2 linked regions of the Callithrix jacchus genome follow. The protein of the gene in region 2 purifies or fractionates together with the protein of the main gene of each other region. This does not show direct contact. Links are inferred from orthologs where the notes say so. Each region holds a gene or a part of one and is shown on either strand. Other genes may lie near its edges.

Region 1 (4,205 bases), on a different chromosome or scaffold from region 2:
AAGGCCTGCCCCACTGAACTCACTATTGGTATAAATTTAATAAAACATACTTATTTGCTTTCTGCCTGTCTTTCATCTCCCACTGAATACTGAACTAGTCCATTTGAATAGTTAACTGCCACAATTAACCACATGCAAACCTAAGGAAGGTCAGTTGAAAATAAACAAGGCTACCAAATAAAATAGAAATTTCCCCTGCAGTGAGACCTACCTGTGAAAATGAGTTCAGATCCCAAGAGTAGATCAGAATATGCTCATTTATGTCTGAGGCAATGCAAGACCATATACAAAAGAATAAAATAATTTAAAGATAAGCAGATGTGAGTACAATTCCCTAAATCTAGTAGGAAGCTTAAATTCAGGGCCCTTTTTATCTTTCAGTACTGACTGTCTAGGCAACCATCTTTGAAATCTCTCAGCAAGATCTCCATAATAACAACCTATTACTTGCTCTGAAAATGCATGCATTAACTCAGATTAATGATGAGTCATTAGGAAAAAGATACAATCTTACATGAAAAGTTAAGCAATTAATTTCAAAGGACTTAAGTTCTGGCAAAAAAAAAAAAAAGGCATTTATTTATTTATTTTTAAAGAGAAAGAGAAAGGGGGAGAGAGAACAGGAATCTTGCTCTATTGCCCAGGCTGGAATGCAATCTAAAAATAGGTATTAATAACCTCTTTTATGCTTTAAATTTAATTTTATGTTTTAAAATTAAAAGTCCAACAATTTCTTACCATCTTCAAATTCTAAAAAAAAAAAAAGGAAAACATACAAACAACAACAAGAGTATAGCAATACCCGGTACAGCTTAATTCAAGGCCTCTTAAAATTCACATACAACTTTCAAAAGACCCATGCTTCTGAAGTATTCATAATCCGGTGATATCACTATTAACTTATAGCACCTCTGAAGCTTTTTAGGTGTTATGTATTAAAAACTGCATATATTTTCACAAAAGTGTATGATTTGGCTTTTAAAACATACATCACACCCGTTTTATGTTCAAAGACTTATAACCTATTACATCAGTTAAAATATTCATTCAGCTTCTCTGAGACAATTGTCCCCAATCCCAAAGCAGACAGGCTGTTAGGCAAAGGAAGCAAAAAAGTAAAGCATGTTTTAAACCCAGTCACTAAAATACCCTACTCTCACTCATCCATGGTTGGAGAGAATCAGATTTCACTTTGCAGTTCACAGACATGTCTGCTTCTCCATGTTGCTTAGTGCTTGCCAATAATGCAGTTGTCCCGCTCAATGGAGAAGGGCCCAGAGTAGAGGACCCTTCCTGTGACAAGACAATAGGTATCTCCAAAAGAAAATATTTTAACGTGGGCCCAATTTTTAATTACAAAACATTTAAACGTGTAATTTTTATATTACATAGTACTGAAATGAACAGTACAGAACCACGTCTAACAATGAAGTTGGTAAAATTACTCTAAAAGCAAGACAACCGTTTCATATTTCTTTCAAATAACTCAAGATAAGTGCTTAGTCACAGTCAAATTCGTGGATTGGGTTACTCTTAAGGGAGTTGAGATCTTACTAAACAGCAGGTAGGCAATCGGTTAATCTGTAATTCGATGCACTTTGTAATACTAGACTAAACTCAAAGATAAGTTTTGGTGCTAAAGTAAGTGCTAAATTTTTAAGTAATGGATGAAATTCTAATTTGAAATGCTTTCAAAACAATTCCATTCTAAAAAAGAGGCCTAAAGGCTCCTGGCACTTGTAAATAATTCTCCATGGCCAGTATAAAGTGGGTTCTATCACATCATGGGGGGGGGAACCTGCGTTTTAGGTGACCCGAAACTCGGACACCTCTTTTTAGACTGCAGTGGAGGAGACTGTATTGTTCTATGATACAGATACATTCTATTTGACGCTCTGACGAAAAATGCATGCCCCTAAAACCCAAACGTGAAGTTTCCATTAAAAGTGAACCAGAGCAGGTAGACGTCCTATATCTTTAAAAGCCAGACACGTCGAATTTACAGGCTCCTACAAGTCACACCACTATGACGATAGTATCTGCTATCACAACAGTTATTTCAACGACTCCAAGTAGTGGCAACATAACGCGGATAAATATTTAGAAGGAGCAAGTGGCTATGTGCAGAGACCCGGAGCCCGCACACGGCTAGCCAGGACCGGTAGCTAGTGACGCCAGACACGGGAGTGAAAGGATGGGAGCCAGGAACCGGGCGGCCTCAGACCACCACCACCGCTCTCCCTCCCGACGACAACAAAAACCAGACACCGACACACGCCCACGCTCAAGACAGCCAAGGGACCCCCATTCACAACCCCGCCGCCACCCCCGCCCTGGTCCTCAGGACAACAGGCCTAAGGCCAAGGGAGGCCTCCGACCGCAGTCTGGGCCTTGCAATTGAGCTCTGCGGCGGCTGACGCACGGCCGGTGCAGAGAAGGCCCAGCCCGGGCTTCGACTCACACTCAAGGAGCGCCGTGAGGACGCGCGGCCACAGAAGGCCTCGCTGACTAGGGGGCGGGGCGGGTGAATGGGACCCGACTGTGTCTCCTGAAGAACAGGGTCGATACGCGATCCACCCGGCCCGAGTGAAGGCCAGGCCCAGTCACCGCCCGCCGCAGGCAGGCCCAAACCGCAATGGTGAGGCCAACCAGCACGCAATCCGGGCGCCACAACCTTTTCCAGCTCAGCGGGCGACTACTCACGGTGTTCGGTGTTAAGGAGACTGCTGGCCGGAGGCTGACGAGAGCCGCAAGGCCTCCCCGAAGGAAGAGAAAGGCTAGGGACCAAGCCACTACAGAAGCGCGGCGCAGCGTCTGCTTTATAGGAGAGCGCGCAGGCGCTAAGGACCCCGGGGCGCGCGGCGTCACACAGAGGCTGGGCTGGCCACGGACATCGCCTGACTGTAGGCCGGGGATGGCGGGGCGGGCCCAGGCCGGGAGGCGGCGGGCCGAAGGGCTGGGGAGCCGGGGAGCCGGGAGAGCTTTCGCCTTTTCCCAGTCCTGAAAGCGCCGCGCTCTCTCCTCAACTGGGTGCCGAGCTCCAGCTGGCCTAGAAAGGTCTTTCAGGCAGGGGTGCCCTAAGCCAAGTGAAAGACCCTAGTTAAAAAGCGTGGAAAAAACAAAACGGGGCGTGTGCCTACGCCTATGTGTGTGTTCCTGGGAACAACAAAACGGGGCGTGTGCGCGCGCTTGTGTGTTCATTCCTGGAGGGGCTGTGTGTGTGTGTGTGTACGCGCGTGTGTTTATTCCTGAAGTGTATGTGTGTGTGTCCGCGCGGGGGTTTATTCCTGGGGTGGGGGCGCTTGTGTGTGTTTTACTACTGAAGTGATACATCTTCTCCAGCCTTCAATCTTCACAGTAACCTTCCGAGGTGAAATAGTGATAGCTTTTTCGCATCTACAGTGAGGGAACAGGTTCGGAACGGTTAAGTGACAGAGCTAGGATTTGAACCTTTAGACTTAGGTGCTCTTAGCCCTTATTTCCTCCTACTGACTTCTGAAGAGGCTTCCATGCCAAAAATAGCCATCGTTGTAGAGAAACCACAAATTTAGAGAGAAGGCCTCCATCTAGCAATAGGTATCCACTCACTAAACATACTTTGAGCCCTGCATGCGAGGCGTGGTGTTGGGGATTCAGTGAACCAGGCGGCCAGGGCCCAGCCTGGACAGAACTGTTTTGTCTGGGGTGCTCCTAGGAAAGCTATGATGAGGTGAAGCTATGATAGGATGAAGCCAGCTATAAAGGAAAGGGAGTAGTTTGAAAGCCCCAACCCGCCCTGCTCGGGAACATTACCCTCCCCGCCCTAGGAGACTGGGCGCCAGGCTCACCTAGCCATCAGGCACGTGATGGTATCCCTGACAAAAGAAAGACAAAAGATACTTCCACACAGGGCCCCTTGAAGAAACCAGAGACGTACAGTGCCTCTGGGACAGGACGGGGTAGGAAGGCCAAGCAGCTCTTTGAGTTACCAAGTCTTTGTCTACAACCCGTGGTATCCAGTGTCTGCCAGGTGCCACAGCTGATGACAGAAGATGAAAGGCCTGCAGCTCTCAGACTTTTTCTGTGCAGCACAGCCGTGCCCTCAGCAGCTCCAGCTTCAGGCCTCCTAGGCAGGGCCCACTGGAGCCCCTTTGCTCCCCTGCCTATGGCATGCATGGTGGTACCTTATAAACTCTCCTTGAGCATCCTAAGCAGGACTGTGCAGT
Region 2 (2,536 bases):
ACCAGGGGGCCTCAATAAACATGAAGTGAATAATTCTCAGGGCATGGCTGGGCCGGGCTGAGATGGCAGACCAGAGGGACTTTGGGCTTGCAGGGGCCAGGCGCACACCTGGCCCAGCCTCCTCCCTGGCCTGCCCCCAGGGTCACAGTCACAGCAGCACACACACACACCCTGGAGCCCCAGTGGAGAGCACATTGTCCCTCTTGCCCTCCCCAGCACCCATGGGAGCCTGAGCAGGTGCCCTCTCCCACCATGCAAACAAATGTCAAGGATTTGAGTCCTAATCTACACGTCATATGTCGCACACACAGAAGTGACATCATAGACACAGGTGCTCACAGTCTTCAGGACTCTGCCTCTTCAAACAAATGCACAGCAGCAGCTGGCAGGCACCCCCTAGCCCAGCCTTGTAATCTCTCCCAGTCACTCCCACACAGGCCTGCAGCCCCCCAAGCCCCAAGCAGGCTCAGGCCAAGCCCCGGCGGGCAAACCACACTCATACTGCAGGTCCAAGCACCAACACGTCAGGTTTATTTCTCTTTCACTCTCACCTGAGAGCGGTACATCCAAATCATAACAAAACCAGGCCCCCCCTTCCCACAAAAAAAACCAGGGCCCTAGGGTAGGGAGCAGCCCCCTGGGTGGGCCTGAATCCCAACTTCAACCCCGTATGCATAGGGCCCAGACCAGAACCTTCACCCGAATGTGGCCAGGACTCCTTGTGCCCTAGGCCCTGTGGGGGAGACAGGCAGCACCAATGTTGGGGATGGTCCCCCAAGAACAGAGGCCGAGGCCCAGCCACCAGCCGGCAGTATCCACATCCATGTCCACCTGCTCAGGCCTGCAGCCTCCAGACCTCTAGCGACAGGCCCCCAGAGGCAGCCACCACCAGGTTGCCCTCAGCACAGACCTGGGAGGGGACAGGGACATGAGGAGTCAGGGACAGTGGCATTCTGGCCAGCTGGGCAGGGCACGTGGGGCAGGACCTTACCTTGGTGAACCCATTGTCGTGCCTTCGGGTGCAGATGGTCCTTGGTGGGTCTGTGGGCACGTGCACCTGGTGAGGGGCAACGGGCCAAGGTCAAGAGGGGTGCCCCTGGCTGATGGAGGTGGGGAGGGCAGGGGCTGGGCAGGAGCCTCACCCGGAGGGTCTTGTCAGTGGATGCAGTATACAAGGCTCCCAGTGAGTACTGGATCCCAGTGATGTGAGACCTGTGGCCCACGTTGAAGGACTGCGGGAGGAGGTCAGGCGACACTCAGGTGGGCCTCTCCCTACTGCACCCCCCAACACCACCGGGGGCCCAGGGGTAGGAAGGAGGCCTGAAGGGGAGGGATGGACAGGGGCAGGAGCCCCAGCAGACCCGGACATGCTGGAAGCAGCCGTTGCGGTTGGCGAAGACGTGCAGCAGGCCCTCGTTGTCACCAGTCCAGAGCTGCATATCCTGGTGGGACATGCAGAGCAGGTAGGAGTCCAGCTGTGAGAGGGACAAGGGACATGGCAGCTCAGGCCAGACTGGGCCTGTGACCATCCCCATCCCTCCAGGCCCCTGGAGAGGGCCCACCTGCAGCCGCTGCAGGACTCTGTTGGCTCGGCGGTCAACCACCACCAGGGTGCGGTCCTCGCTGCCTGAGATGATGTGCTGGTCATCTGCCAGCAGGGCCAACACAGGGCTAGAGTGTAGTCGCTGGCTCTTCAACAGGGCTGGGCCGGCTTCATGGGCAATGGGCCAGGGAGGAGGGAAATCAGAGCCCCTCAAAGGTCCCCCCAGCCCAGGGGAGCATCCTGGGTCTCCATTCTGTCTGGCAAAACCCTTGATCTGCTCATTCCCCCACTCCACAGAGTGACCCATCTCTCCTTTCCTGCCTCAGCTAAATCCAGGCCTCTGCCCATCCCTGTCCCCATCCCATAGCCCTCCTCCAGTCTCAGCTACTGTTCTCAGCACGGAGCTGACCAAGGTGGTCTCAGTCTTGCATCTGCCCTCAGGTTGGCCTGAAACACACCTCTACCCCACAGCCCTGCTCCAGCTCTGCCTGGACAAGGTACACGGGCCCTTCAATTAAACAAAATAAGAATGAATATAGGCCAGGCACAGTGGCTCACACCTGTAATCTCAGTACTTTGGGAGGCTGATATGGGCAGATCACCTGAGCCCAGGAGTTCAAGACCAGCCTGGGCAATGTGGCAAGACCCCGTCTCTATTTTAGAAAAAAAGAAAAATGGCCAGGCGCAGTGGCTCACACCTGTAATCCCTGCACTTCGGGAGGCAGAGGTGGGTGGATGTGAGGCCAGGAGTTCAAGACCAGCCTGGCCAACATAATGAAACCTCATCTCTACTAAAAATACAAAAATTAGCTGGGCATGGTAGTAGGCACCTGTAATCCCAGCTACTTGGGAGGCTGAGGCAGGAGAATTACTTGAACCCCGGAGGCAGAAGCTGCAATGAGCCGAGTTCATGCCACTGCACTCCAGCCTGGGCAACAGGCTAGAGTAAGACTCCATCTCAAAAAAAAAAAAAAGAAAGAAAAGCAAATGAAT

What was found. Proteins that work in one complex are often made in the same cells at the same time.
Region 1: the proteins of FBXW9 (region 2) and SKP1 purify together in Homo sapiens (affinity purification with mass spectrometry; 6 studies listed by BioGRID and IntAct, with this or other methods). This does not show direct contact. The link is inferred for Callithrix jacchus from reciprocal best matches to the Homo sapiens genes FBXW9 and SKP1.

The regions. Positions count from the first base shown.
Region 1 is NC_133503.1:74,158,225-74,162,429, reverse strand, and holds the start of SKP1 (S-phase kinase-associated protein 1), read right to left. Parts: upstream 2,817-4,205; 5' UTR 2,704-2,816; intron 2,602-2,703; exon of another isoform or gene 2,462-2,601; intron 265-2,461; exon of another isoform or gene 212-264; intron 1-211. UniProt on the Homo sapiens protein: Essential component of the SCF (SKP1-CUL1-F-box protein) ubiquitin ligase complex, which mediates the ubiquitination of proteins involved in cell cycle progression, signal transduction and transcription.
Region 2 is NC_133523.1:11,507,808-11,510,343, forward strand, and holds the end of FBXW9 (F-box/WD repeat-containing protein 9), read right to left. Parts: intron 1,712-2,536; coding exon 1,563-1,711; intron 1,476-1,562; coding exon 1,362-1,475; intron 1,233-1,361; coding exon 1,143-1,232; intron 1,058-1,142; coding exon 992-1,057; intron 911-991; coding exon 836-910; 3' UTR 509-835; downstream 1-508. UniProt on the Homo sapiens protein: Substrate-recognition component of the SCF (SKP1-CUL1-F-box protein)-type E3 ubiquitin ligase complex.